Linked DNA regions of Mus musculus: all the other regions are reported to be linked to region 2. Evidence: microRNA targets listed by miRTarBase, many of them from high-throughput screens and not tested one by one. Region 2 holds a microRNA gene; each other region holds the end of a gene's coding sequence.
Evidence for each region. Region 2 holds the annotated microRNA mmu-miR-7b-5p (UGGAAGACUUGUGAUUUUGUUGUU, at 2,960-2,983, shown strand). A microRNA usually pairs through its seed, bases 2 to 8, with sites in the 3' UTR of a target mRNA and lowers its output. Matches are read on the target gene's strand: a 7mer-m8 pairs with bases 2 to 8, a 7mer-A1 pairs with bases 2 to 7 and ends in A, and an 8mer does both.

Region 1 (4,310 bases), not on the chromosome of region 2:
TGTGGGAGAAATGTCAGAAAGCAAATGAAAGCCAGGCTCTATGAGGCCACTAAATACAGACAGACATGGGCACGGGAGGCTTAAGCTGGGTGAAAGGATGCCAGGCTGTCAAGTCTGAAGAATGAGGAGCCAAGTCATCTGCTGGGAAATCACCTCTCACATTATAAGCACAGAGGTGCTAGGACAGGACTGAGCTGTGATGCCTGAAAAACAGCAAGAGAGTGGTGAGGGACAGCACTGTGCATCTGTGATCCCGCTTCAGTTCCACCTCTCCCCAAAAGGTAGTCAGCGGCAGCACTAGAGAATGGGGGGTCAACATGGAGAATCCACAATTTCCAAGAGAGCACAGATTCTAGCAGCTCAGTAAGGGCTGCTCCAAAACCTAGTTTTATTTTAGTGTTAATTTAAAGAAAGATTTTTAAGTGTTTCCATGTGTCTCTGTGTGGGTTGTGCATGTGAGTAGGTGCCATGGAGGTGAGGTAGTGTGCCCGGCACTACTGGTACAGAAGGCTGTGAATTGCCTGGCACAGAGCTGGTGGTAGGAAGAGAACACAGGTCTTCTCACAAGCCGTCTGCAGTCTTCAGCACTGGCGACCTTTCCAGTTTCATTATTGCCATCTTACTGGCGTTAGCGCAAAGGTGGTAAAACAGTAGAGACAACCTGTATTCTCAGAACTGAGAAAGCTAAGGCAGTATGATCAGCCAGCAGGTTTAAGGGTAAGTCAGAGACTCTGTCTTAACCATTTTGGCACTAAAGAGGTGGAGGCAGGGGCATCACTATTGTGAGTTTGAGCCTAGCCTGGTTATATAGCTGATTTCAGAACAGCCTGAATAACATGGACTCCATCTCAGTTCTTCCCATCCCACCTATTTGGTGATATGGTAGGCAGCACATGCCTGTAGTCTCAGGACTCAGGAAGTGGAGGCAGTAGGTTCACTGCAATGAGTTGGAGGCTAGCCGGGATTACATACTTAAGTTCCTGGACAGCCTGATTCACAGAGTGAGATCGGACCCACCCATACACCACCTAAACAAAAGTATTGGATTGTGGTAGTGCACACCAGGTCCCAGGAGGGTCAGCAGTTCAAAGTCATCCTCTGATACATAGTAAGTTCGAGGCGAGCCTGAGCTATAGGAAACCTCTCAAAATTACAAAAAGGTATAAGAATGCCAAGGATCTCCCTAGTTTCATATGACCTACCTTCCAGGTCCACCCCGTGGCGCTGGGCCAGGTATAGAACATTGTCCCCGACTTTGCCCCTCACCGGGATCCGCTTGCCAGAGCGGTCCACGAACACCACGTTGACCCTGGGGACAAACAGGGTGCAGGTGCTGAGCCGGAGGCAGGGAGTGGCAGGGAGGGGCAGGGCGTGGCACGAGGGGCACTCACACGTCCCGGGGCAGCTCCGGGCTGTCCGCCGCCTCCTCGCCAGCACGCCGCTCGCCTGGAAACACACGAGTGGGTGAGCGGCTGCGGCCTCGCTGCACGCCGCGGCTCGGCCCAGCCCTATGTACCTGTAGTCCCGAACGTCCTAGATGTTACCGCCGCGTGCCCGGCCCTGGGTCCCCAAGATCCCCCGGCCGCCCGTAACAGGACCCGGGCGCTCACGCCCCGGGCCATGGAGGCGGCCATGATAGGCCACGTGACCGGAAGACCTAGCATGCTCTGCGCGTCCTCAGCGACAGTAAACGCAGCGTTTGGGCGCCGTGTGAGGTCAAAGGTGATGCACTGGGATCTAGCTGGACTTCCGGCCTCGCCCTGTGGTTGGATATTTCTTCCCTTAGGTCGTACTGTATGTGTTCTGCTTATATGTACGTATGTGCACCAAGTGGGTGCCTATGGAGCCCAGAAGAGTTGATGGGTAGTGTGGGGCTGGGAACTAAAACTACGTTCGGCAATTGGGACCAACCTCTGAGTTCTCTAATTTTTAGACAGGATCCCCTAGTCTGGCCTTGATCTCCGAATTCCTTTGCTGGAATTACCGGTTATGTGCAACCAGTATTTAAATTTTGTTTGAGACAGAATCTCTATAGACTGAGAAATTCTTAAGTCTCTAAGCAATTCATATAGACCAGGCTGGCCTCCAAGCCCAACTTAAATTTTTAGGGATTGTGTGTATGAGCCCATCCGTGACATGTGTGTAGGTCAGTGGTCAATCTGCGGGAGTCAGTTCTCTCCTTCCACCATTTGGGGCAGAGGGATAAAACTCAGGCTGTCTGTGTTACCAGAATTCTGAGCTAGTTTGCTGGCCCATGGTTTATATCAAGAACCAGCCAGCTCTGATTTTTTTTTTAAAACCGTTTACTTACAAACTTTAATTCAGCAAAGGTCTATGCAGGGGGTGGGGGTGGGGTGAGGGGGTGAGATACACCCACTGGAGTGGGTTTGGGTTATCATGTTTGGGGAGGGAGGCTGGTGGTGGCTCAGCTGGCTAAGGGCAGAGCCCCTAGGTCCCCCTCACATGGACAGAGAGGAGGCCTGCTCCAGTGATCCAGCCTGGGGATGGTAATGACCTGGGTTTGAAAGAACATGGTAGAGGCCCAGTGGCCTGGGTACAATGGTCACCTTTCACAGACAGCAGGGGAGACTGTTGAAGCCAGCAGAAAATACTGGTCTCTGCATCCAGGCTTTGGGCAAAAGGGGTGGTTTGCCAAGATCAAGGCTTTAGCCTTCTGTCCACAGGGCAGACACCTGGAGAAAGGATGAACCCTAGGCCAGAGCTCTTTGGTCCTGAGCGGAGCTTTTGGAGCTCCGCATCTGTGAGGCTCTGACCCAGCAGGACCTGTGGCCCAACTTTAAGGCATCAGAAGGCAAGGATACTGGGGCAGGGGCTGGAGATCTTGGGGCTTAGGGTACTGGCCAGAATAGGCAGGCAGGGGCATGAGACAGCTATACCTGCAGCAGATGACTGGGAAGAGAATAGGGTTAAGCTGTTGGAACCTGCACATGTGGAATAGAGCCTGGGCAGGCCAGACCCTGAAGGAATCAATTTGGGGCTTTTCTGGACGGATGGGGGAGTAGATGTGATAATCATCCTGGTTGTTTTAAAAAATAATAAAAATTAGAAAAGGAAATAAAAGTCAATTGTCGAAGTTTAAAAACGGGGACTGTCTCTGATCCTCACAGGTCAGAGACACCTCCAAAGGCACTCAAGAGGCCAGAACACAGGAGTGACGAGGCAGGAGAGGAGGCCTGGAGCTAGGGAGGGAAAGAGAGCAGGTCAGGCCCCTCTCTCTTAAGGCTGCAGGGTTTGGCTCCAGGAGCAAGCCCACAGGTAATGGTGTGGCCCCAGATACCCCACATTCCTTGAGCTCCAGCTGGTTGGTCAGCAAAGTCTTTTGCAGAGATTTCTCTATTACCCAAAGAAAGGACATTAAAAAAAATAATAAAAATAAAATCCCAGAAAACACAAATACCAGAAAAAACCCAAAAGCAACTTGGTGCAGGCCCTTGGAGCATCTCTGGTGTCGACCCCTTAGAAAATCCTCTTCCGCTTCAGGTAGGAGTCCGCGTAGTGGCCGCCGAGGCCCTGGGAGTGCTGGCCCACGTAGCTGCCCTCTGGGCTGGGCTCAGGTGAGGGCAGCAGGTGGGAAAAACTGCGTTTCTGGCCACCCAGTGGGGTCTGGAGACAGACAGCAAGGGGGGCCAGGTCAGTGGCCTCCCAGAGCCAGGGTTGCCCAGCCCTGTGCCTCCCCTCCTCCTGCCCGTACCTTCAGCAGGTGACTGTGACCATTGGGCCCAGGGCCCAGGCCCAGGAGCCCTTCACTGGAGCCCATTGGAGAGGAACCAACAGCCTGGGGAGTCAAAGAGGTGGGGCAGGTCACCCTGAGGCCACCTAGCCTGCAACTCAGAACTGAGGCCTGGTGGTAATCCAGCTGTCTCTCATCTGTCTTCTGGGGCTAAGACCACCCACACCTTAGGCCAACTTGAGATGAGGGGAAGCTCAACAGTGGGAACCAGAGGGGCCAAAACCACTGCAGCATGAGCTGTCGCCGAGACCCCTTGGATGACAAGGCTACAGAGACATACAGACACACAGCCCGGCATTCCAATGGTCCTAGAGACCAGTCCCTTGTAGGGCAGACTCACCTTGTTCAGGTGGCTCTGCTTGAGGCCAGCCTGTAGGCCACTGGTGAAGTAGGAGGTGGGTGAGCCAGAGTAAAAATGAGAGAGGGGTCCCCCACTGCCTCCACCACTTCGGGGCTCATTGAAGCTGCTAGGTGGGGGGGACATCTGCAGAGAAAGGTTCAGCTGAGGAAAACCATGGCAGGAACCCTTGCCCACCATGATTCAGATTGTCCATGTTTA
Region 2 (4,310 bases):
TGATTCAATCCTGAGAGATGTGTGGGGGCAATGGAGCTGGAGGGTGAAGGCACTTGCTGTGGGGTGGCCTGAGTTCTATCCCTGGGACACATGTGGCAGAAGAAGAAAACCTACTCGTGCAAGGCTTTCACAGAGCTCCAGATAAGCACCATGGCGCGTGTGTGCACATGCATGAGGGTGGGCTTTCACACACCGTTTCACTTTCTATTGATTTGTATGTGCGGACATGGAACACAGGACCTCACAAATGTGAGAGAAGAAACCTGCCAAACAGCTTCCCGTAGCCCCAAACGATTCTCCAGCGTGGCAGTGGTGATGCCAACCTTTAATCCCAGCACTCAGGAGGCAGAGACAGGTTGATCTTTCTGAGTTTGAAGCCAGCCTGGTTTACACAGTGAGTTCCAGGACAGCCAGGGCTACACAATGAAGCCCTGTCTCAAAAAGCAAACAAGCAAGCAAGCAAGCAAACAAACAATAAAAAGAACAAGAATTCTCCAAAGGTTTAAAATGAATTAAATTAAATGTGGGCTGCAGGACCCACAAGCTCTCTGCTGACTTCTATGCATGTACTGTGCATGTGCACATAAATAAATAAATAAATAAATAAATAAATAAATAAATAAATAAATAAATAAATCTTATAATTTCAGGGAGATGACTTAGCTCTTTGAGGGACTGCAAGGCTCTGGGTTCATATCCAAATTGAAAGAATGGGAAGAAATAAGAGAGAAAAACAAAGGGCGTGGGGCATGCAAGTTTTACCCAAGAGACTGCTAGAAGGGAAAGGGACAACTGATCAGAGCTTAGATCTTGCAGGTGGCTTTCCAGGGTCTCATCCCAGGTTCCCTGCAGCCCCTCCTCCCATGCCCCTAGGGTGTATAGAATGAACCTGGCTTGCCAGCTCCGCAGCCTGAGGAGCTGGTAGGAGATTTACAAGCCTGAGTGTGTGTCCTCCCTGACTGTCTGTCCCTTTGGTGCTACAAAGGAAGCTATGTAAATGAAGGTGTGTGATGTGCCACACACCAGCCTTCCCAGTGCTGAGAAGGCTGAGGCAAGAGGATCACAAAAGTGAGAGAGACTGTGTTAGAGGGGGGAAACTGTGACTAGGGCTCAGGGACAGAGCGCTGGCCCAGCAATCAGAAAGCACTAAGTTCCATTCCCAGCACTGCATCAATCTAGTGTGGAGGCAAACTCCTGATGGGAGCCTGAGGCAGGAGAATCATAAGTTTGAGGTCATCATGGACTACAAATCAAGACCCTAACTCAAAACAAAACAAAAATCGCCAGAGCTCCGCCTCTATCCTACGCTTCTGTGAGTCTCATTCCCGCACACTTCATCTTCCCTGTGTAGAATTGGACTTTATTTTCAAAATCCCTCAATTTCTTCAAACATTTTTTTTCAGCTTCTCTGTCCCAGCAGGCACACGCTTGATGATCGCTAATCCTCTGGCTACTCAGTGATCAGGTTTTAGATGATCCTCTCGTGGAAACTTAACAGGCCACAGGACTACACCCTGACACCTTCTGGAGACCCCTAAAGAAGTTTTTGGACGGATGCCTGACTTTTATTCTGAAGCCGAGGCCTCAACCTATGAGGTAATCCTTGGAGCTTCATTCCAAGACGATTCCTATTGGTTCACTGGCTAAGCCCCACCCAGGGTTTCCAGCGCTCCGCCTTCCCCTTAAGCGCATAAAGGTGAAACGTCGGAAACTGGACAGCCACCGAGACACCTGCAGCTGCTGGTGAGCAGGAGAAGGTAAGGCACGAAGGAAGGAGGAAAAGGTGCGCTGAGGGAGGGAAGCGGGGACTCTGGGTACAATGCAAGTTGGCACATCTTCCAGAAGGCCAACTGGACTGTTTAGGAAGGGCAGAGAACCCAGGGCTGTCTCCCTGAGATGTGGGAGCAGGTGAGAGCCTTGCGCCTTCGTCCCCGCCTAGAACACCCCGGGTCCATGGGAAGAGATTAAAACAGAAGATGGGTCCCTAGGACGAAGAACAGAAACAAGGAGCGGGGCATTTTGGCAGAAGGCAGAAGCTGGGAGAGTGTCCTCGAGCCGCACTGACCACCCCCTCCCCCAATAACTAATTATGTTTCAGCACTGGAGACGCGGACAGCGCCATCCGGCTGAGGGACTCGGAGCAGAGTTCGGCTTCAGCACCAGGATTTCGGACAGCTCCCAGCGGGTCACGAAGAGACTAGGCTTCAGCACCCGGCCCCTGGCAGTGCCAAGCTCTCAACACCCAGCTTCAGGGATCGCCTTGGGGTCTGTTCTGGCGGAGAGTGTACAGGGAAGGAACCTCTTAATGGTTCTTGGCATTTGTCCTTTACGGAGGGATTTTTTTTTTCTTTTTTGAAACAGGGTTTTTTTGTGTGTACCTCTAGCTGTTCTGAAACTCACTATGTAGACTAGGCTGGCTTCAAACTCACAGAGTACAGGCGAAGCATTTGGTCAACGAGATGTTATGAGTGCCTCTGGGTGTACTAATTTCCAAAGTGAAGTGGTGAGGGGAAAGCCAGCCTCAATCCAACTTTAAATCTCAAGTTCTTTTTATTTTTAAAAAGAGTTTTTCTCTCAATTATATATATAATTATTATTATTTTAAAACACTGTAGACCAAGCTTTGAACTCCTTGTGTAGCCAAAGATGATCTTGAAGTTCTCATCCTCCTGCCTCTACTCCCTGCGTGCTGGGGTGACAAGTGTGTGCTCCTCGTGCCTGGAACAATAAATCCCACGTTGGTGATGTGCCAGGGTGTGAGTTGGGGGGCAGGTAGAGAATGAATCTTGCCTGTGTCTCAGGGGATGGAATGGAAAAGGGATGTCTAGGGAGGGTAAGTCAGTGAGTGGGGTTTGTTATGCTCAATCCTCTATGGAGAGAGAGAGAGAAGCACTTGAGGGTGTTGAACCTGGCGGAGGAGGATGAGGACGAGGAGCGGAGTACGTGAGCCAGTGCTATGTGGAAGACTTGTGATTTTGTTGTTCTGATATGATATGACAACAAGTCACAGCCAGCCTCATAGCGTGGACTCCTATCACCTTTCTCCTGAAATACACAAACAGGTAGGGGCAGGAAACTGGGACAGGAGGGGGTTAAGGGAAGTCTAGCACGGACAGGAGAGGGTGTCTAGCAAGGTCTCGGGCCCTGGGAGAGTGCAGGAGTGTTTCCCATGCTATTGGCCTGTCACTCAAACACATCTACATGATAGGATCAGAGACACAACCTCAGGGCCCTGGGTCACAGCACCGTGCTTTCTCTGGAGACTCAAATAGGGAATGGTGAGCCAGTGGAGTAACTCAGAGGGAAAGAGTGCTTTGAAATTAGGGAACCCAAGCTTGAGCCCCAGGATCAACTGGGTAGAAGGATAAAACCAACTCCTGCAAGTTGTCCTCTGACCATACATGTCCTGTGACACACATGCTTCCACACACAAATAAATAAACACACATAAAAATTTTTCTTTTTTTTTTTTTTAAGAGAGGGTTTCTGGGGCTGGTGAGATGGCTCAGTGGGTAAGAGCACCCGACTGCTCTTCCGAAGGTCCAGAGTTCAAATCCCAGCAACCACATGGTGGCTCACAACCATCTGTAATGAGATCTGACTCCCTCTTCTGGTGTCTGAAGACAGCTACAGTGTACTTACATATAATAAATAAATAAATCTTTAAAAAAAAAAAAAAGAATTACATTTAAAAAAAAAAAAAAAAGAGAGGGTTTCTGTATATAAACCTGGCTGTCTTAGAACTTACTCTGTAGACCAGGTTACCCTCAAATTCAGAGATCCACCTGCCTCTGCCTCCTGAGTGTTTGAATTAAAAGCATGTGCATACATAAAACTTTTTTTTTTTTTGGTTTTTTGAGACAGGGTTTCTCTGTATAGACCTGGCTGTTGCTCTGTAGACCAGGCTGGCCTCGAACTCAGAAATCTCCCTGCCTCTGTCTCCCAAGTGCTGGGATTAAAGGCATGCGCCACCACTGCCCGGCCATAAAACTTTTAAAAGAGGGATTGGCATCAAAGGTACTTCTAGAAAACCCTGAAATTCTTTTCTCTTTCTTGTTTTCTTTTCCTCACTCTTTTCACTTTGCCTGCTTTGAGACAGTGTCACCTGTAGTCCAGGCTTTTCTCTAACTCTGAATGTAGCCCAGGATGGCTTTGAACACTGAGTTCTCTTGCCTCCAGTCCCTGAGAACCATGCCTAGCATACACGGTGTTGGATTCAGAATTTCAAATGCTTTGACTGGGTACGGTACCCATGGAGCCCCAGCCCAATTTTCAATAAAACTCTGTGCCCGCCACACAAAGCAACCACT
Region 3 (4,310 bases), not on the chromosome of region 2:
TGTCCCTGGCAGATGGCAGGGAAGAGAGTCACAGACTGGGCACTCTGTCTGTCCCACTGCCTCCAGCCCAGAACTCTGATCGACAGTCAAAGCGGAGGAAAATGAACTAGATGTTTTCCACAGCCACTTCTGTTCACTTCCATTTTTATTTTTTTGAAAAAGAAAGTAGACTGGACTTTGTGATACAAACCTATAACCCAAAGTACTCAGGAGACTGAGGCAGGAGGATTGTGAATTCTGAGCCTCTCTGGGACTCCATCATGCTCCACCACACCCCCGAGGCCTTACTTTAGGGTGGTTATCATGCCAGAAGCCAGCATTCCAGCTGTGCGTCTCTTATGCAGAAATTAAAGTGATGGCCCAGGTTTGACTTCATCTCCCTCCTTTCATGTTGCAGTGGTTAGAAGTGGTAGATGTTTCTCCTTGGGAGTCATGTGCAGGATTGAGAAGGTCTTGTGGAAGTTAAAGCCAAAAGATCTTATCAGAGTGAACTTGGAGCCAAAAGTTTATAAACAGGACCTGGAACCCAGGTAGTGGTGGCGCACGCCTTTAATCCCAGTACTCAGGAGGCAGAAGCAGGTGAATTTCTGAGTTCAAGGCCAGCCTGGGCTACAGATCGAGTTCCAGGACAGCCAGGGTTACAGAGAAACCCTGTCTCGAAACAACAAAAGGGAGGTCCTTGAAGGCCTAGTAGGCAGAGGAGGAGGCTACAGCTCTGTTGGGTTGGCAGCACCATCTAACTTACCAGCCTACTCTGATACGGCATGGCCAAGTCAGGAAGTGATAACCACGGCTTTTCCTCCTTGTTTAGACCATGCGGAGAGGCACGTTGGCCAAGTGAGTGGGGGCTGGGGATGAGTGCATGTGGCAAGCACGAACCGTCAGCTTGGCACCTCACTTGGCTTTGGATTCAGGCCTCGACAGACCCACTGCTGGTAATAAAGTTTCTGGAATCTGGAAGGGGAACTGCAGATAGAGGCTGGAGGTTTTAACAGTACCAAATGATCTGTGGCCATGGTTCTGCAAGGGAGGTTAAGACAGAAGTTGACAAGAAGCCTCTCATAGGTCCAAATTGTGAAAGTGGAGACCTGGCGCCTACGAGTAGTCCCTTCTCCACTAGCGAGTTGTGGCATGTACACACATCAACAGGCTCAACAACAACAAAAACTGTCCTTTCAGGGTTGGAGAGAGCTCTTGAGGTTAAAGGTCCCACAAACACCAGCACCCACATTCCCAACACTGGGAAGCTGAGGCAGGAATGCCATCCAGGCTTCCTGGCCGCCAGCCCGGCTAGATTACAGGAGAAGCCTTGCCTCAAAGGAAAATGGCAGGGAGCACTAGAAGATGCCTGATACTCTGGCCTCTCCACACACAGCCCACGCTACCGAGGAAATAGCGCCACATTGGATGATGAGATACATGAAACAGCCAGTGGCAACAGGCTGCAGTCTAAGCCGAATGGTGGCACATGCCTGCCATCCCAGCATTTGGTAGGAAGAGGAAGGAGAGACAAGTTCAAGGCTGGCCTCGGCTAAACATGATCACTTGAAAAAGCAGCAAGAAGCCCACGAGATAAGTTAGCAAGAGGCAACTGTCCCTGAACGTCCCTTGTCCAGAAGGAGGAGTTTAAAAGGCAAGTTTACCTTAGCTTAGGGGTGGGCTGCTGTGGGTTCAACCAAACTATTAAAATCAATTTAAGACTAAGAATGCTGACGACAATATTTAATACTAGGGCCAGGAGATGGCTTAGTGTTCAGTAAAGGCCCTTGCCACCAAGCCTGACAACTTGAGTTCAGTCCCTGGAACCGACATGGGAGAAGAGCCAACTTCTCCAAAGGTGGTCCTCTGCCCTCTGCATGCACACACACAAAATGAATGTAAAAAGTCTAAATACTAAAACAGGACTAACCCTCAGGTGAGTACAGCAAAAACTAAGATGCTGAGCGAGTAACCCACGCCCAGGAAGGTGTGCTCTTGTATCTTAAGACCCTTTGCTCAGCAGGTGACCCCAATGAAGGAGTGTCACTGTTTGTCTTCAGAGAGGCCCCTGGGCAGGGCTAGAGGAACAGCCTCTGAGTGAGATGGAGACCCTGAGAGGGAGCCCTTCAGCTCTGAATTCTGAGCCATAGCAGGAGCAAGCTGATGAGAGTCTTGAGTTCTGCAGTCTCACAGTGGAAGTGGTGGTACCAGTGGGGAGGCCTACTGGTCACTGAACCTCCAGCAAATGTGTGGACCAAATTATGACCCCAGAAGCACCTCCTTTAAAATATAGAACTTTATTTTGGTTACTGAGATTTTTGTAAGTACTTGCTTCACAGAAAAGTCATTTCTTACAAAATAACAAAGGCAGCATTTTTATACAGCGACTCACATTGGGGCCACCAAACAAGTGCAGTGAACAGTGCTACACATGGGAAGGGCCAGTGTTCTTTTCCCCAGAGTGCTTAGGGAGAAATCAGAGCTCCCCCTCCCACCCACCTAACACAGCAGCACCTAGGGCTCCACAGAACCAGCACGGGATATGGCCCAGTGTAGGACAGTGACCCCAAAGGCTGGTGAGGGCCCTGCAGTAAAGGCCAAGTGGGAAAGGGCTCGTCCAGGCAGAGCTGGCCCTGCGTGCAGACCCAAGCCCACCTGACTCTCAAAGCCTGTCACACTCAGTACAGTCTAGTGAAGCCCTTTGGGAGCTGGCCACTAACTCAACTCTGACTCTGGGCTGGGACAAAAGGACACAGACAGGTGGCTCTACCTTCCGAGAGTTCACAGGTAAATGGGCAGGACAGGGTATGTAAGGACCCAGAGTTCCAAAGCAAGGCAGAAAGTGCTCAGTGTCCTGAGGGAGCAGGAGGGCGGGCAAGGCTGAGGGTGGTGAGCAACACAATCAATCACTTGGAGCCAGGGGAGAGTCACGTGGAGACGGCAGTGTCTGAGCTAACCCTCAAGGAAAGGGTGAGATCTGCACGGATGGAGCTGTCTGGGAAGGGCATGCCAGGGAGAAAAACAAGCACAAGCCAAGGCACAGAGTGGGGGATCTGGTAGGGCTGGTCAAGGCAGCTGATCGTCCACGAGGACGTGGGCACGTCGGATTGGGTTGGGTAGGGTGGGGTGAGGTGGGGTCGGGGGTGCCTCCATCCAGACAGGCTGGACTCTGTAGGGGCAGCTGGAATGTGTGTGTTCACACAGAATCCTGTGACGGGTGCTGAACTTCCCCTTGGGGACAGCGGAACTTTGTTCATTCTCACGGGGCCCAGGCCAGCACCTGCCTCACACCTGAAGGCAGCCCCCTGCCCCTCTTATTTATAGCATGTCCCCTTGTCATTCCTGGGGCAGCTTTTCAGGAAGAAGTCCTTGTTCCAAGCCCCTTCCTTGCTCACAGGGCCATGTGCTAGTCCAGGAGAACTGTCTTTAATAGAAACCCTGCAGCTCCCAGAGGCAGCTGGGAGGCTGGCATGGGCCCAAGAGGGACCAGAGGGTCAAGGTCCAGGAAAGGGGCGGCTGTCTCCACCTCACCACAGTCACTTCCCTTGCTCAGAAGTGCTCTCTTCCCTGAGAAGAGTCTGATTTTGGTCTGCGTGAAGTGAGGTTCTCTGTAGCTTGGAACAAGTGACCTAAAAACTGCATGTACTGTCTGAGCCTCCGCGGCTCTTCATAACCTCTAAGTGCCGGAGTGACTAGAAACACTCCAATTGCGCTTCCCTTTCTCCTGGGGAAATGTTCCCAAGGTCCTTCCAGTTGGGGCTGTGGAGCTAAAGGGTTCTAGGGGAACCTGGTTCTTAGTCCCCAGGCAGCCGAGGGTTTCAGGTGTGTAACATGGGGATGGGTCTAGGATCTTCCCAGGCCTAACTTCCACCTCAACAGTCAGCCTGTAGCTCTTCCGAGCACACACCTGGGCTTGGGCCTGAGGCAGGCCTTCTTGCTTACAGGATGGTACAGAAGATGCTGCGGTTGCTATGGTAGCCACCTTCCACACGGGCTGTGATCCTGGTTGCCATGGCTGTCACCTTATGCCCACTGTGGGCTGCAGAGGAGCCCCTGAGTGAGTTTTCAAGGTGGGGCCGTGCCGGTGGGTTCACCAGGCGCCAGGTATCAGACCTGTGGATGCAAAGGAAAGCCATGAATCTAGAGACGGTGCTTGTGAGTGGCTGCGTCTCACCTTTGGTTCTAGTTCTCTGGATCTCAGAGTTCAAATCTAGGTGTGGGTTTATCTCCTGAATCACTGACTGCTGTTGAGGCTAAGCAACGGTCACATTTCCTCTTAGGCCCTCAACTTCCTCTTCTTCCTGGATTTGGATATGAATCAGGGGCCTTCC
Region 4 (4,310 bases), not on the chromosome of region 2:
AGCACGTTACAACTACCCCACTTCATGCCATTAACTCTTACAATCTCCAACCCCAGTAATTATCATCTTTCTACCATTTCATCCTAATCTGTCCTGAAGGCTACCGACAAGGCATCCCCCACCCTGTGTCTGTCACCACATACTCCTATACTCTTTCATTTATTATTACATAATTCATTGTAATCCTCAACATTACTTCTCCTAGTCCTCTGCCCATTCCCGATCCTATTGGCCAATGGACTGCTTGTATTCTTGTTCCCCACCACCAAAAACCCTTTCCCGTGAGTCCAAGGTCTGCCATGCCCAGGGAGCACAGCGTGACCATGTACAGAAAGCATGGCCTGCAGTCAGACTCTTGCCATAGCCGTCACGCTCCAAGCATCTTCATATAGGAACAAGAAGGGTCACGGTACCCCCCGCAGCCCAGAACGTGTCAGCTAGAAGGGCCGAGCTGATGTCTACCTGTGCTTTCTTTAGCAGATCAGATATAGCCGCAGCACAGCAGTCGGGCATGAGCCTCTCCAACTCTAAGGTGATGATGACTAAAGCAAATGTGGAGCCCTTGAACTGCAGCAGCTGGTGGCCTGCCATCCAGTGCTGCAGCTGCCTGGTCAGGGACGCGACGTGGAGGGAAGGATTCCTCTGAGGCCACAGTTCCACCACACGGGGCCAGCTCCGGACCATCAGGGCGTGGAACTGGAGACCATGGTTTTTTAATGTTAGGACCGAGGCCCCTCCCCCCTAGTTTTCACATATCAACAACCAAAAGTGCAAACGGTTTCCGATTTTCATCAGGGAAGCATCTGGTGTGGTCCAACCCCTTTCATTCCCAGACAGTCTGATTTGTGACATGGAACTCTGAGGCTAGAGTGTAGAGACAGCCACGTTTGGATTCTGAGAAATTCAAGAATCTGCTATTAAAGGGAGTGGGGAAGTTACCTGTAACCGCTTGACCTGAGAAGAAACCAGGAACTTTGTCAACAGCACCAGTTTTCCATAACGAAACTGCCCTTAGTAATTTAACCTTCATGCTTTATAACAGACCAAAACGCCATGACATTTCCTCATTTGCATAATTTTGCCTTACTAACAAGCACATCCTGAAAGATGGCCCCCCCATCCCCCCAACTAAAACCAACATGAACCGATACCTGATATTTTTTAAGTGCCAGATCAGTGCGGTCTAACGCCTCAGTAAGGATTGTGTGTAGGTGAATAAAGACAGCTAAGTGAATGTGTGTAAAGTGTAGTAAAGGCAGACAGATATTTATATACAATATTCATAGAATGGAAAGTTAAATATTTTTGCAGTGTGTATCTAAGAGAGAAACAGACCATAATAGTGCCGTTTAAATGTCTTTGTCAAGTGATCTCTGTGTCCTTTAGACGTGAGAGTCTGGTGGTGGAATGGCGTGGGGTATAAAGATAACATTTTTTTTCCACTCTTCCGTATGTTGTGAGCCTTTATGGGTCACCTCGCCGTGGTGCATGTGCAAGGACGTGTTGCACGCCTGTGCCTTGCCTGTTCTGTGTTGTAAACAGCTGTTCCAAAGGCACAGACGAGTCTCAGGGAGACTCTATAAACTCATGCTCATTATAATCAAGAAACCCAGCGACATTCCCGCGTGGAGGTCCTAATGGAGTCTGTCCAGAATAGCCTACCCCATCCTCAGCAGCTCATTTGGGGTACAGCTAGAGCCACAACGCTTTATGACGTCTTTTACACGTGGAATTGACTGTAAAAAAAATAAATAAATAAATAAAGGAGGCCAAAGCCTGACATCATGTTACAGTAACTTGTTTTCTTAGCCATGGGGACTGGGGCATCCACACACAGTAGATTGTCTTCCAGCGGCCTGCCTCTGAAAAGACTTCTGGAAGAAAAGCCAAGCCACACCTTGCTTGTTTGGCAAACCGCTAGGAAGTGGGAATGCTGTAATGTACATCGCATGGACCCCCTTTGCAAAAGGTCTCAAGACCCCACTGCCTGCCAGCTCAGACACAAAGGTGCTTCAGAGGTTGGTCTGGGTCATGCGTGTTCAGCTGCAAGGGCTCACCCAGGTTTCCTCAGAGCTGTGGGTTTGTTCACTCCTCCCAATCCCCGCATGGCTGCTTGGAGAAAGAATAAAGATGCCTTCCAGCTTCCTGGACGTGCAGTTGACAAACTCCCCATGGCCTTCACAGCTCTGCATCCCCATATCTTCCCTCGACCTTATTTTCTCTTTGGGGTATGTGTGTGTGTGTATATGTATGTGTGTATTGTGTATTGTATATTGTGTGTGTGTGTATGAGTGTATGTGTGTATGTATGTGTGTATGTGTTTATGTATGTATGCATGTGTATATGTGTGTGGTGTGCATGTGTGTGTATGCATGTGGAGGCCAGAGGATATCATTCTTTGGGTATCGACCACCTTTTGTTTTTTAAGACAGGCCTTTCATCTCTTCCTGGCCTGGAACTTGTCAAGTAATGAGCTAGCTGGCCAGCAATCCCTAGTGATTCCACCACACCCAGCTTTCTTTTAAAACATGGGTCCAGGAATCCACCTCAGGTCCTCACACCACAGCAAGCGCTTTACCGACCGATCCTTAGCCCCACCCACTTCCTTCAGCCTTTATTGAAGATGGTTCAGCTCTGAGGAAACTATGTTCTCTCAGGTATGGTGGTTCCCAACACTGGGAAGGGGGAGGCGGGAGGATCAGGGGTTCAAGGTCAGCTTTGGCTCTCTAGTGAATTCGAGTCCAGCCTGGCTATACAAGATTCTGTCTCTGAAAGTCAAAACCAAAACCAAACCAAAAGCAACACAACCGGCTTTATCTTCAGAAGACTTTGCTGACTTCCAAATATCAAGGGCATTCATGATTTAGTCCTACATTTTGAGAGAAACAGATATTACTATAGCCTTCAAAGGTACTTCTTTTAAAGGTCATTCACTTGAGGTTTGGTCTGGCAAAAAGAAATTTTAGAGGGCACAAAGTGTATCTTTAAAAAATGATTTTTAAAAATTATGTGGTGTGTGTGGTGTGTGTGTGTGTGTGTGTGTGTGTGTGTGTGTGTAGTGGTATGTGCACATGAGTGCAGGTGCCCCAGGAAGCCAGAGGAGGGCGACAGATCCTCTCCAACTGGAGTTAGATTTTTTTTTTTTGTTTTTTTTTTTTTTGTGAGCTTTCATGTGGGCTCTAGGAAAGAAACCCAGGTCCTCTGCAAGAACAGAATGTGTTCTTAACCACTGAGCCATCTCTCCAGTCCACAAATTATATTGTAATAAACATTTGTATTGAAGGTTTGGAACTGGACACACAAGCCATATTTTCCTTCCTTGGAGACTTCCTTGGACAGTGCCTTGGGAAGGCACTGGAGAGATGACAGTAGTGTCCCTATCCTCCAAGTGGAAGGGGTCAGAGGACAATGTAAAGATCTGGGAAGGTGACTGGGAAACCATCTCCTGACAGAAAGCAACAGTAAAACTCGGATGGCCACGCTAACTTGGAGCCCATTCAGAGCTTCTGCTCTTCTCGGGTCCCCTGCTACCCTCAGAGAGGGGTCTCAGAGTCACTAAGTAGCAACTTCATGGGCACAATCTAGTCAAGTTTCTGGGAAGAGACTTGAAGTCACTTGTCCCACAGAGGCCTCCCTACCTTTACTGAAACTGTAGGAAGATAGGGAAAAGGAAGATCGCCAGGTTGAATGTGGCCAGCAAGGAACGCCTGGAGGGATGCTGCAGCAGTTAAGACTGCACATGGCTCACGCAGAGGACCAGAGTTTATATATGTATACATACCCCCGAAAAATGGAAGCTATTCTTAGCATTAGGAACCTGGAGAGGATTTTCTGCAAGGTGTGGCACATCTCCACTTGCTGGGAAAAGAATCGAAGAGGGGAGCACCAAGTTTGGAGGTAGTTTTGGTCCAGCAGTGGCAGGGGCCTCCTGATTAAGGTAACCAAAGGGGCTTTCATATTTTAAACCCGGATGTAATTAAGCAGCCCTCGGTGGCTTGTTCTAAGGCAGAAACACCTGCTGGCTAGGTGAGGGAAACCACACCGGACAGCGCAGGGCCTGAGCACCGCGGAGGAGGTGATGGATCGTTGCCAAGCCACAGGCACATGTCTCTGCGCAGGAGGGCTAGTGGCGGGGAATTAGGAAGCAGCCAGTGGAGACCCAGCATAGGCCGCGGGCAGTTGGAGCTCTGCCATGATAGACATGATATAAGTTTCAGAATGTGTGCTGTTCCTCGAAAGGCCACCAGAGGTCCTCCAGGAGAGCAGAGCCTACTCAAGACTCCAAGATGACTTAAAAAGTCTCTCTCACC
Region 5 (4,310 bases), not on the chromosome of region 2:
CACTGAGAGCCTAAGCTGTGAGGCTTTGGATGAGAACCCCCACAGGCCCATATATTTGAATATCTGCTCCCCAGGTGGTAGAACTGTTTGGGAAGGATTAGGAGGTGCGACATAGCTGAAGGTTTGTCATCAGGGTCTGCTTTGAGGTTTCAAAAGCCTATGCTACTCACACTGAGTGCTCTGCTTTGTGCTAGTGGATCAAGATGTGAGCTCTCCCCAGCACTTGGGAGGCAGAGGCAGAGGCAGGTGGATTACCAAGTTTGAGGCCAGCCTGGTCTGCAAAGTCAGTTCCAGGAGAGCCAGGGTTACACAGAGAAACCCTGTCTTGGGGGGAGGGGGGTGGTGAGCTCTCAGCCACTGCTCCAGTGGCTGCTGTCATGCTCTCTGCCATGGTGATCCTGGACCCTCTGAAACCATTGAGGCTCAAATTAAACAATTTCTAAGTTGCCTTGGTCATGGTGTTCTATGACAGGAATTTAACAGTAAGGCACAAATTAATGCCTTTCCTCCTTAGAGATTATTTCTATTTTGTTACAGCAAGAGAAAGCTAAGTAACAAGTTTACATAACAATTAATGGACAAGCCAAGTTTATATCCAAGGGTTACATTTATTTAGATCTTGTTTTTCCATAAATTACTCAAACTATTGTCAACAGACATGATGCAAACAGCTCCCACTGCTGCCTTGACAGGCATGGGCCACCAAGCCTGTCCTTTCTGGGGTGTATACAGGACTCGATTTCCTGCAGTTATGCTCATGTGGACTAGGTCTAACCTGTGCTAATAAACTTTGCCTTTATCACATTACTACGGAATAAAGTAATAATGAGTCTCTGAGAATACAAGTTAAGCCAACCACCTTGCTTCCAGCATCTTCAGAGACTCATTTTTCAACCACTTTGGAGCAGGCGACTTCAGAGTCTATGAAAGACTATTAAACCAGACAGACCATTAGGCCAGACACCCACCTCCTGCGTTTTCTCTTCTCATTTAACACAAAAGTAAAGTCTGTAAATGTCTTCTGCAGAGTGCACAGATGAAAACAGAAATCAAAAGCCTCTCTGTCAGGTATGAAAGTGTATGTGTTGGACAGCTGGGCCTTTGGAGCTGAGTGATCCAGTCTTTACCTTTCCTGGGACGTTAAAGCAGACTGTCCTACCCTAAACTTTTGTTAAGGCGCATTCAGAGCAGAGAGAGAGACCTTACATGACCCCAGCTTCTCATAGTACAAGTTACAGTGTCTGATGTATGGGGCAGGGGCCAGCTGAGCAGTCAGCAAACCTCTGTACAAGCAATACTGTATAACACAGAAAAACCGACCTGCAATTTTTGATTCCATAAGAGCAGAGAATTGTTGGCTCAGGTAGCTAACAATACCCTATGAGTAACCAGTCCCTGGCACACATATGAGGAATTCAAGCTTTCTAGAGAGAGAGATCTCTGTGGTGGGCTACTGTCTGTAACTGTGCTGTCATTTTTTTCCCCAGTCTAACCTGAATTTTGTATGTTAATTAAAAACAAAAAACTAGGCTCTTATGATGTTGAGAAAAGTTTTTCAATAAAGATGACTCCTCCCTCCCTCCCTCCCTCCCCCACCCCCTCTTTCTTTCAGACAGGGTTTCTCTGGCTGTCACTCACTCTAAAGACCAGGGTAGCCTTGAACTCAGAGATCAGCCTGCTTCTGACTCCTAAGTGCCAGGACTAAAGGTGTATGCCACCACAGCCTCAAGATGACTCTCTTAAAAAACAAGTTTGCTTTTATTTTATGTTCATTGGTGCTTTGTCTGCAAGTATGTCTGTGTGAGAGTGTCAGAAACCCTGGAACTGAAGTTAGAGGCAAATATGAGCTACCATATGGATGCTGGGAACTGAACCCAGGTCCTCTGTTAGAGCAGACAGTGCTCTTAATGCTGAGCCATCTCTCCAGCCCCTAAGATGACTCTTTGGTGGAATCTGACTCCCTCTTCTGGTGTGTCTGAAGACAGCTACAGTGTACTCATATATATAAAATAAATGACCATCAAAGTAAGAACTCAAAAGAAAAAGGAAGCCATGGTATCCCTTGCAGGAGGAGAGATTGCAGGACAGGTACTGGAAACTTTTCACTAAGCTGTAGTTCAGCAGCTTTTAAAAGTTCATGTTTATTCATATTTTTCAAAATATTTGTACATAAAAAAGGAAGATTTACAACAGGAAAGACTGCCTTCCATGCAACACAAATCCCAGTGACTCACGATGGGACCTCACAGGTAGGAGCCACCAATTCAAGCCCAAGCCTTAAGTCCATTTCCCAGCCATACGCAGCTGTGGGGATCCCAGGAGACACTTCAAGTGGAATGAATCTCAAACAAACACCTTCTCCTCTGGCAGCATGTAAGGGGCCAGAGGATATATACATCAAAAAGCTTAAGACAATTAAAATATTAAGTGCCACAAGGAAGAATAAATGATAAGCAGAAACTGTAGTTCTCAAGTAAGAAGCTAGTACTATTTTACACAACCTCACAACCCTAAACAAATACAAACAAGAAGAGGGCTGGGTAGTACAGCTTCATCTGCTTCTCCCCCACCCCTTCTCTGTTAAAATATCTCAAAAAGGAAACCGTTTGCCTGATATCAAAAGTTCTATGGAAAGAACAGGGTGGGATGGGAGTGGGGGGCACACGCACAGGTGAATCTGAAAACTGGTCATTTTAGCAAATTATGTTTTACCATTTAACATTTCTACATTAGTAATGGGAACTCTCAAACAGGGACAACTCATGCCCCAAATATTAAAAATATATCTAGACATTTGATCAAGAATATTCTGTCATTTTTGGTAATAAGCAACACCAGAAATCAGATTCCATGTAGTCCTGTACTTCCCCTTCAGTCAGAAACCAAGTGGTGCAGACAACTTGTGCTTGCTGTGAGGGGACAGTGCTCTGGGCAGCAAAGCGAGCTTGGCAGTTGGTCAGCGTGACCGGAGGAGAGGAGCCCTTCAGAATCTATGGGATGGCAGGGACGGGGGCTTCTTTCCGAAGTTAACATGTCCCCGACTCAAGCTGGAGACTGGTCAGTGGAGTGATTCAACAGCCAGGGTTAATCACCACAGCTCTAGCAAGTCTGCAGGCAGGACGCAAAGCCTTCCCAACACTGCTCCTGCGCCGTCTGGACTTCCAGCCCCAGACCTCTAAGTGCTCTACAAACACATCTCTGCAGTTGTTTAAATTAACTTGAAGGAGGAAAAAATCCTCAATCGGATCACAGAAAGAGGACGAGGGCTGGGGCTAAGATGAACAGAGGGAGCAGGGCAGTCACACAGTCAGCGAAGTCCAGGTTATGGCAGAAATTAAGGTGATGAAGAAGCAGGCACTGAACAGCACCGAAGCTCACAAATGTCTACGCTGCTCTGTGTCCATTCCTTCCCACAATGCTCACATGGGAAGAAAAAGTACAATTTAAAAGCATTATAACTAGAACAAATGCACACTGACCTTATAAAGTAAGATTCTGAATTCAATCATGATACCCTTTTCCCTATAAAATTTACTTTTTTGTCTTGAAAGACTTCTTCATGGCAGATTTGCCCTTCCCGGGCAGTTTCGCTTCCTTTCGTGCACTGGCTATGGGCTTTCTGGAGGAGCTCCCACTAGGCTTCTTGATGACTGAGGGAGAGGGTCTGGCTTTCCTGGCAGGGGTCTTGGCCTTGGGTGGAGCTTTCTTAGGCAGCGGCCTCACTTTCCCTCTCTGGGCAGCCGGGACTTTCCGCGCAGGCTTCGACCCTCTCTGCTTCATGGAGGCTGTCTTCCCTTGGGACTTGGCTGGTGTTTTCTTCTGTAAGCTGTGAGAACACAAGAATAAATGTATCACTGAGTACAGGAGAAAGCCATTTGCTAGGACAATCTCCTTCTGCTTAAAGAAATCACTTACATAGAAATCACTATGTTAAAAACAAAAACTTAGCTGGGCGTGGTGGCGCACGCCTTTAATCCCAGCACTCGGGAGGCAGAGGCAGGCGGATTTCTGAGTTCCAGGCCAGCCTGGTCTACAGAGTGAGTTCCAGGACAGCCAAGGCTACACCCTGTCTCGAAAAACAAAACAAACAAAAAAATCCCAAAAAAACAAAAAACAAAAAAAATTTGCCTTGATTTCTCAAACATTTATACTATGTTTGACCAGAAAAAGACATTATGTATTCACAATGCCTGAAGTTTAGAGTCCTTGAATTTTGAAAGGAGAAGATAGTTTAAATGTTACTCAAAGAACCTGAGGATATTAAATGGTTAAAACACATTCCTACCCTTAGCCCCGCTTTTCAGCAATGC
Region 6 (4,310 bases), not on the chromosome of region 2:
AGAGTGTCCCTTGGCATTGAACAGTTATTAGCTCTATTGTCAATGTCATGGCAACCAATAGTAGAGAATTCGTTAGCTACATCAACTGAGAAGGTATGGGTATCCACTTGCTTGACCCCTCAACCTCCCCAAGGAGCTGGAGGACTGCTCTGCCCATCTGGGGAGCACTACGGTGTAGCATCCTGTTACTATGACAGGACTGAACTAACTGTGGGGCTGTGTGGAAGCCTCTAAGTGGCGCATTTCGACAGTCTGAGGATCCCTAAGGGCAATGTGAACATAACACATGTGGGTGATGTCATCGTGGGATTTAGGAAGGGCCATTCTGTAGGTGTATTGTGGAAGACTAGGGGCTGTTACAGCTGGTGATGTACACCTGTCTTTGCTGAGGTGGAAAGATGCCTCTAATTCATTTTTGAACAAAGAAAGTAGACTCTAGAATATTATAACGATGTCGAATTATTCAATATCTATTCATAAATGTGTGGTATTTTCTGAAATGTTAAGAGTAGTTATCTACGGGGGATGAGATTTTGCGTAATTTTTCTTGAAGTAAAAATTGAAATACATTTTATTATTAGCACTGTGTGTGTATGAGGTACATGAATAGGTGTGCGCAGGCCACCTTGCAGGTGTGAACATCACAGGACAGCTTGTGAGATCCTGGGGGTTGACTTCTGGTTGCAAGGCTTCTGTGGTAAGGACCTTTAGCTGCTGAGCTATTCTGATAACCCCATCTTGATGCTTTAGATAGTATTTTTGTATTGCTTGGGTTTTATTTTCACAGTGAAGAGTTATTGCCTTTTTAATAAAACACGGCTCTTTCAGATTACAAAAAGCTACTGGGATACAAAAACCTCATAAAGAATAACCTTCAGATTTCCTTTAAAGTTCTTACTGTAAAACAAATTAAAAAAAACCCTCATTTCAAAGCAGTTTTGCTGCTGTTTATTCACTGTACGTAGAGATGGGTTTCACAGACGTTTTCCTGTAAGTGTATCGTGTACGCACACTCCTCTGTCCTCTCCCTGCCTCCCCTTTGTCCTCTGCCCTCTCCCCTCCTCCCCTCCGTCTCCCTTACTACTTCCCATCAGGAACAAAGGAAGAAAAGTCATTCCGCTTAGCTGAATGGAATGCCATAACGTGCCAACTGGGCAACATGGTAAAAGAAGAAACGAGACAGACACTACTGGGCACGGTACAACTCACATTTTATTCTGTCTTGACTGGTGTACATTAGGAGCAGGCAGCTGGCAACTAGCGTCGGTGCAGAACTCCTCTGGACTAACAGGTCGTGGGAGATATGGCTGACTTTGGCACACAGACTGGATAACCACACATTGGCTGGAAGATGGCAGGCAAGAAGATAGAAAAAAAAAAGCACAAACCTAACACCGCACAGAAACTATGTCTGAATGTCTTAGAGAGTAGCATGCAACCCTACACAGGCCACACTGTGAGACTACAGCCTGGCCTAACTTCCCTTCTTAGAGATATAGAGATGACGGCCTTAGTGTTTGGTTCCTAGTAGCATTTTAGTGCAATGAACACGCTGTGGAGATCTGCAACCAATTGGTACAGCAACCCACCAGTTAAAGACATAGTGCTAACTATGCAATCCTTCTAGCTCATCTCTTCACTAAACCAACTCATACTGACCTGATCCTTCTTACCCAAGCTATAGACTTAGTTAAATGTAACTCCTCACATTGTTGTAATATCAAGAAGCATTTTTGTTGGTCTTCCCATCTTTGTGAGACACAACGGACGAGAGGGGAACTGGGGCAATGATTTTCCCTTTTAGAGGTAACGTTATGTGATGAGAACATCGAAGGGGCAATGCTGCGTGTATTTTGCGTGTTCACATCTCTGAATCACACAGGGGGTCTGAAGAGCAGAGTAAGATGGGGAAGAGGCAGCAACTCTAGTCAATTTCTCAGGACAAACAAGGAAAGAGGAGCGCAAAGGAAACGGGAACTGGAAAACCACCTCTGGTAGAAGAAACCGTTGCCATGGAAAATCTACTCACTCGTAACTGACTGCACGTAACAGGATGAGAGAAAGGACGTCAGTGACAGTTGCATGCTGGTACATATACAGTGGGCTGTTTTTCCTGTGGTGGATTTTGAGATGGTCACCTCTCTCAAGGAGAAATTGTTTTTACTAGTATATGGTCAAATTTAACCCCCAAAGGCAACCATAATTGCTGAGAACAAGTTTTCTTTATTAATTTAGGCAACTGGCTCACATTCATTTACCCTGGAAAAAACATAATTATTCACTCATGATATGTTGTGAAATATGACAGTGATCAGGATATGGTTCATTCGCAGGGTGCACAGAGTTAGATATTTGCATGTGCTATGAGTCTAAAGTTAGAGAAGCAAGGAAGAGATGGAGATGTCTTCAGAGAGATTGCCAAATATGAGAAGAGTGATGAAGGATGCCCTGATTGTCTCACTTCTATCCACTGGGGGGAATGCAATGGAGACCAGCCTCTCTTGTCTTCATTATGAGAAACACTGATCACAAAGGAGAGATAGATCTGACTTAGTCTTTGTCTCCTGAACTTTAAATACTGAATGACAAACTGCAGACTGTACAGCAAAGGTAGAAGTGACCAGAACTTTGATGACATGCCTGGCTGGGTCACTGTGCATTGTAAAGCACCATGTCCCTGCTCTGTTTCAGCTTTTAAGAAAAAAAAAAAAAAAAGGAATGCTCTCCTTCTTTGCTGTGGCATGCATGGCTCTCTGTGAGCGACCTGTGCCAGCTGAGCATTGTGTAATTTGAAGTTTCACTTGAATTCCACAGTAAACAATCATGGATATTTCACAGGAGACTCAGACATTGTTTGAGGCTGACCTTAGGAACCATTTCCTGACTGCGCTCCCAGGCCTGGGTGGAGGCAGCCCCCTCTGGCTCTCCCCGGACCATCAGCAATCATTGTACATGCTCTGCCTCTTTTGAAGGAAATGACTTTCTCAAGATCATGATGATTCTAAGGGGGTAGATACAAGGCGAGTCAGAAGGAAGCTCAGAAAGGCGGAGGTGGTGGAGTGGAGAAAGACTTCCCTCCATACTACAGGACTAGTCATGAGGCAAACTCATGGCATGTGACTCAGTCTCTCTAAGATGTACCCATGGGGTGTTTCTAGGCATCTGTATCTAACATCCTGCATCAACCACCTGAGGCTGGATTTACCTTCCTAGGTGTGGCAATGGGAAAGCCTGTCAGGGTGTGCCTCTGTGAGGTTCCTGTTCCCCGACCAGCCACTCTGACTTGCTGCTGGTGGTGGAGAGGTGGCTGTAAGGCAGAGAGAGAGGAGTGCACACAGGTTGGACCTTCGGGATGACATCCAGAACGCAAGAGCTTGGGTAAATCCAAGGTCAAGGCGATTACGAAAGAAGCGGAGAAGACCACAGAAAGACCCAGAAGAAAGGTTTTTAGGGGCGAGAAGAGAGGGGAATGGGAAAAAAAATCCACGTTCTAGGGAATTTCACAGGAGCCAAGCTTGATTCATGATACAGAGAAAGTCCCTTGCTTATCTGGCTGGCCGGGAAGACAGTCTTCAGAATGCCCTGCAGCTAAATCATTCCCACATTAAGGACACAAACACTGAAGTGAGGGGCTTCCACGCTATCAATTGCATTCCAATGATTCGTTAGTTCTGTATTTCCTAGGTTGCTTAATTCTTTTAGCGAATGCACAGGTTAGGTACCACCGTGAGGAAAAGGAGGGTGTGGGGAATGAGGTGATTAAAATTGGAATTAGTTTTTCTTTTCTTTTTTTGTAAACAAGAGTTAGTAGCACAGTGGCCCAGTAGATTGTCAAAGGAAAAAGGAGGAATAGGTACAGAGCCATCAGCCTGGCCTCGGCCACTTGCTGGCCACAGGGAAGGGACTCTCTGGCTCAGGAGTCTATCTTCTTGTTAATAAAAACGGAGCAGCAGGTGAGCAAGCCGTCCACCTTTTCCATCTCCGAGTTGCTCACAGGGATCAGTAGATGGTCCTTGAGTTTCTCATAGACCTGTGAGACAGTGGGAGTCAAGAAGGAAGAGGAGAGAGGGCGTTACATCCTGGCCTATTCCATCATCCTTGGGGTCAGAGAATTAATTCAGCTCATGTATCCATGCTTTTTAGTCATTTAGGCCCAAAATACACACGTTCACAAACCCACCCCAGAGCTGGCCACATGTGCTTGACCCCTTGTTCTGTGCTTTTTAAACTTCCAAATGAAGGATAGTCTCCAATGTGACTGTTGCGGAGTTGTCTGCCATTGTCCTTGAATCCAGTGCTAATCAGACCCC
Region 7 (4,255 bases), not on the chromosome of region 2:
GCCTCACCTTCCCAAGTATTGGGTTACAGACTTGAGCTACCACTTCCAGCTGTATCAGTCTTTCTATCTCCTGCCAGAGTCTATCCCTGGCTATTCAGCACCATACATTCTCAGACTGAACCTGGACCATGTGGCAGGATCGTCCACTCACCAGGCTCTGCCCACCCTTTTCTCTCTTAATCTTTCCTCTAGGGAAGTAAATCTGCCCTTGCCTAATTTACAGCGTTTTTAAGCCTCCGCTACCTTGGTTCTTCAGCCACTCTCAAGTGGATCCACTTCTTATCATCCATCTTTTGGCCTGCCCCTCCTCCAGCCTGTCTTTTTTATATTAAAAATTTTATATATATTACGTCTTAAAATGTTTACTCCTTGGCTTTGGGTTTACTCCCCTCACCTTACCCCCCGCCATGCCTGGCAAGATCCGGAGCCCCATCACCCACCTTGGCTTCTCTCAGCTCCTGGGAGCAACTCCCATAACAATGGGAGGTCTGGATGATCCATTCGAAAGAGTGTTTTGTGACAGACCCAGACATGTTTCTATCTGCAGTGGGAACAGCCAAGTCTCGTCTGGCTTTCTAGTGGAGATTTAAGGGGGTGAACAGCGAGTGTAGGAGCTAAGTTGTAAAATGGGTCTGAGCGCTTAGGGTTTTTCAGAGATGACCAGAGGGGGCTCGACTCTTGGTGAAAGAAGAGCTTTTAGAACCTGGACAGCGCATGCTTTTAATCCCAGCACTTGAGAGGCAGAAGCAGGAGGATTTCTGAGTTCGAGGCCATGGTCTACAGAGTGAGTTCCAGGACAGCCAAGGATACACAGAGAAACCCTGTCTCGAAAAACCAAAACCAAACCAAACCAAACAAAAAACAAAAACAAAAAACAAACAAACAAAAAGAACCTGAACAGCCAACACTGAAGGGCATCCTAGAATATCTAATCTGCCCTCCTTCAAAGAAAGACCTGGATTCTGGCAGGAGCCACCCAGGCGGGATGAAAGCAGAGTGTGCGGAGCCCTGGAGCACAGAGGGCTCCGCACACTGTTTCCCCAAGTCACTGTTTCCCCAAGTCAGCATTCTCTGCCCCCCACCCCCTCAGAGACTGCACACAGTACTCCCCTTGTGAGGTAGCAGATTAACTCATCCTCTATCCCAATGAATCTCTCGGCACTCTACGCACCCACCCGTGTCTGGATCCAGCTCACCCCCATGTTAGGACTTGCCTCCTTCTCCATCCTTCCCTCACACTCCAGTTAGCTGGGTAGAGACTCCACTTCACACTTCCTCCAGCCCATCCTAGACATGGCTCCCTAACCAGAGACCCTGCCAGCCAGTGGACTTCCCATGGAGATCAAATCACACATGACCCAGTAGAGCAGGGCATGCTGGACGCCTTGTGCGGAGGCCATGACACTGGACATGTCTTGCTCCTCCTCTTGTCTCTTCTGTTCGCTCATTATCTGCTTCTACTCTACCACCAAGTTCAACTTCAACATAAAATACCCGAGTCTTAGCAGATCTGAGCTTGGGGGTGGGTAAAGCTGAGCCCATGAGAAAGGTTTTCCCAGTGAATAAAGGACCTGCCATTCTGTCCTGCCTGGTGGCTAGACAGAAGTGCCACTTTGAAGAGGCAGCAGCGCCTATGACCCCTAGACAAAGGTTTGTGTAAGTTAGGAGAAAGGAAAAAAGAAAAGATTATATTGGCAGATGTGCACAGCCCCATCCCGAGACCTCCATCGGTGTTGGAGGGAGGGGGAAGTGGGCCTTTGGGATATATACACATGGATATATATATGTATATATATGTGTGTGTTCTTGAGTATGCTTAAGCTTCCAGGGAGAACCATTGCAAGGAACACCTAGGCTTGGCCCAGAAGCCCCAGATGTGTCTTATCTACCTGAGTCCCTTCTGCCAACACGGACTTAGTCATTGCTGATTTTCTGTCCCCCATCTGATCTCCACTGACTCTTCTGTTAATAACAAATCAATAAAGCCAGCGCCCTCTGCTTCCAGGTAGCGGGGAGGGTGTGTGCTTCTGGGTAAGGTTTCCTGCCAGAGAGCTGGCAGCCTCAGTTTCCTCTTCATTCTGATCCTCTCAAGGCATTCACATTTGGAATTAAGTCAGACATTCCCCACCCCACCCCCAGCACAGCCCTGGTTTCTACATCCGCAGGCCAATCTGCGGCCAGCACCAAGGACAGCAGCCAAGACCCCTGCTGGAGAGGCATGGAGCAAGGTTTCCTGTGTTCCAGGGTAGGTGGGCTGTTAGAAGACACCCACTGTTTCCAAGCCTCCCAAGAGGAGGCAAAGCAGAAACTGTTGGTCCATCAGAGGACCAATAGTAAGAAAGCCCTCTGGGTCTGACTTTAGCAATGTATGAAGGAATTTTTTAATTGCTCATGAATGGTTCACTTAAAAAAAAGACACCGTCATTCATATTAACACCCAGCCTCCCTCCTGGCTTCAGGAGGAAGGGAATCAAGCTTCAAGCTGACCCACATAGTTCTTTTGGTGGTAGGGGAGTTAGCCCCAGGACCACATGCACACCACTAACCCACACCCCCAGCCCTTAGACCCACATTCCCCAAATCCTTTCTATAATAAATAAGAGTTCTTACGCCTCTCTCTCTCAGTAATACCATTAGCCGGGCACACCTGGATCAAACCTGTGATCCTAAACTGCCACAGAAAATGTCTCAATTGGGGTTAAAGTCATAACACTGAGGGAGGAGGCTCTGTCCCCATCACCCTAATTGAGTCCATGTTGGTCTCCCACCATTCCTCTGGGGGAACACAGTACCTGAAGGAAAGGGCTGTTCTCAGACAGGCTGTGCAGTCCCAGCTGCCCCTCCACCCCAGGTCCGGTGTTTGGAGGGTCAGAAGGGTTCTCGATCCTACAACGGCCACTGTCCTACACAGTTGCAGTATCGACTTCCTCTTTTGCTTCTCTACTTTGTCTCTCAAAAACACCAAAGTTCTGTGCCGCTTCTGACAGAAACCACATTTCAGAACTTGCTCTATCACCTACTGTCTAAAGTAATTGGTGGCAACTAGTCCGGAACCCTTTATACACCCGTCAGTTTTCTCTGTCATAGTATTCAACCTGTCTCCCATTTATCCTCGAGTCTGTGAGGTAGACAGGAAGAAAAAAGCTCAGATTTTTCTTTTCTAAATCATAAAACTCACAGGTGACAAGCCCACACCCCGTCCTCAGCTACCTCTGAGCACTGACACCTAGCAGCCAAGGTGAGTCACTCACCAGCAAGCAGGGGGGCGGGAGGGGTCCCTCTTCCAACTCCATACGCACCTCTGGGAAGTGCAACCCAACCCGTGCTGAGGAGCCCCCCCCCATACCCTCCATCCCTGCAGAAGAGCCCCAGATGAGAAAGGAGGCCCCACGCGCATATAAATGATTCTTTATGCCCTTCCCCCATGCAGTGGGGGGCGGAGCAGGGGGAAGTCCCCCGCCTCATGCAGGGAACGGGAGGTCAATGTTTAGTAGTCTTATTGCCAGATGCCCTGTGGCCATGGGGTGGGGAGTGGGGGGTGTCTACAGCCCCTTGTTTTCTGGCATTGGTCTCCCTTTACCAAGTCACCATGGTGGAGCCAGGGGACTGGAGGCTTAAAGCTGAGGTAAAGATGGTTCTCTCCAGGAAGAAAAGTGGTTCTCCCCGCTTGCCTGCTGGCCATCCTCAAGGTGAGTATGAGGCGGTGTCTGTGGGAACTGGAACGTCACCCAGGGGTCTCTACCCTGTGGGCAGTAGGCCGGACAATGTCTCCAAGCTGGCGGCTGTCCACAGAGATCCTCAGTGGTGGGGTCACCGTGCCCCAAACACGTTGTCTAGGTCGTACCTCCAGCAGCCGGGAGGGCTCGCCTCTGGCTGATGCATTGACTTAAGATCCCTGTTCCTGGAGTCCAGGTCAGACTGTGGTGACCCTCATGACAACCTCTCGACCAGAATGAGAGCTGGAACGGGCATCTGGTGGTCGCAGCTGTCCGAGGAGATGCAGGATCGTATAACCACAGCGCTGAGGCAAGAGCGTCCGCATGCGCATGCGCTGGGCTGCTGGGGGCCGGGTGGGGGCCCCTGCAGGGGGGCTGGTCCGTGAGGTCCTGGGGCCTGGCTTCCCTGCCGCCCCTCCCCCTGTGTCTCCTCCCACGTCCTTGGTCTTGTCATAGTTCAGGACTTTCCACTGCTGGTTCACGGCCTGCCAGCGCTTGAAGATGCGGTAAACAGAAGACCCTTCGTGGACGATGAGGCC

Region 1: the mRNA of Raver1 is a reported target of mmu-miR-7b-5p. The part of its 3' UTR that is shown has no 7-base or 8-base seed match.
Region 3: the mRNA of Fbxo10 is a reported target of mmu-miR-7b-5p. The part of its 3' UTR that is shown has no 7-base or 8-base seed match.
Region 4: miRTarBase lists Septin8 as a target of mmu-miR-7b-5p. The part of its 3' UTR that is shown has no 7-base or 8-base seed match.
Region 5: miRTarBase lists Hp1bp3 as a target of mmu-miR-7b-5p. The part of its 3' UTR that is shown has no 7-base or 8-base seed match.
Region 6: the mRNA of Ddah1 is a reported target of mmu-miR-7b-5p. Seed matches in the 3' UTR shown: 7mer-m8 at 3,561-3,567 and 7mer-A1 at 1,346-1,352.
Region 7: miRTarBase lists Marchf9 as a target of mmu-miR-7b-5p. The part of its 3' UTR that is shown has no 7-base or 8-base seed match.

The regions. Positions count from the first base shown.
Region 1 is chr9:21,071,873-21,076,182 of GRCm38, forward strand. It overlaps Raver1 (ribonucleoprotein, PTB-binding 1), which reads right to left. Exons shown (of 13, transcript NM_027911.4): 11 at 4,092-4,235; 12 at 3,713-3,796; 13 at 2,286-3,624. The coding sequence ends at 3,478. Fdx2 (ferredoxin 2) reads right to left here and starts at 1,659. Exons shown (of 5, transcript NM_001039824.3): 1 at 1,517-1,659; 2 at 1,392-1,446; 3 at 1,203-1,309. The coding sequence starts at 1,634. Gm38431 (predicted gene, 38431) reads right to left here. Exons shown (of 17, transcript NR_038081.2): 11 at 4,092-4,235; 12 at 3,713-3,796; 13 at 3,419-3,624; 14 at 1,392-1,446; 15 at 1,203-1,309. Mir7082 (microRNA 7082) reads right to left here and starts at 3,716; the gene lies at 3,625-3,716.
Region 2 is chr17:56,240,058-56,244,367 of GRCm38, forward strand. It overlaps Mir7b (microRNA 7b), which reads left to right and starts at 2,931; the gene lies at 2,931-3,041. It overlaps A230051N06Rik (RIKEN cDNA A230051N06 gene), which reads left to right and starts at 1,659. Exons shown (of 2, transcript NR_155493.1): 1 at 1,659-1,757; 2 at 2,099-2,748.
Region 3 is chr4:45,031,991-45,036,300 of GRCm38, forward strand. It overlaps Fbxo10 (F-box protein 10), which reads right to left. Exons shown (of 11, transcript NM_001024142.1): 11 at 2,258-4,092. The coding sequence ends at 3,918. Polr1e (polymerase (RNA) I polypeptide E) reads left to right here. Exons shown (of 12, transcript NM_022811.3): 12 at 1-2,289. The coding sequence ends at 110. Among named protein-coding and RNA genes, the nearest start is that of Gm30939, 11 kb to the right of the region's middle.
Region 4 is chr11:53,547,814-53,552,123 of GRCm38, forward strand. It overlaps Septin8 (septin 8), which reads left to right. Exons shown (of 10, transcript NM_001347496.1): 10 at 478-1,792. The coding sequence ends at 646. It also overlaps the pseudogene Cycl. Among named protein-coding and RNA genes, the nearest start is that of A430108G06Rik, 17 kb to the right of the region's middle.
Region 5 is chr4:138,240,962-138,245,271 of GRCm38, reverse strand. Hp1bp3 (heterochromatin protein 1, binding protein 3) reads right to left here. Exons shown (of 13, transcript NM_010470.3): 13 at 589-3,826. The coding sequence ends at 3,532. Among named protein-coding and RNA genes, the nearest start is that of Sh2d5, 7.3 kb to the left of the region's middle.
Region 6 is chr3:145,891,162-145,895,471 of GRCm38, reverse strand. It overlaps Ddah1 (dimethylarginine dimethylaminohydrolase 1), which reads right to left. Exons shown (of 6, transcript NM_026993.3): 6 at 1,195-4,030. The coding sequence ends at 3,914. Among named protein-coding and RNA genes, the nearest start is that of Gm35187, 2.6 kb to the right of the region's middle.
Region 7 is chr10:127,052,658-127,056,912 of GRCm38, forward strand. It overlaps Marchf9 (membrane associated ring-CH-type finger 9), which reads right to left. Exons shown (of 4, transcript NM_001033262.2): 4 at 3,393-4,254. The coding sequence ends at 3,914. Cyp27b1 (cytochrome P450, family 27, subfamily b, polypeptide 1) reads left to right here. Exons shown (of 9, transcript NM_010009.2): 9 at 1-349. Among named protein-coding and RNA genes, the nearest start is that of Marchf9, 5.4 kb to the right of the region's middle.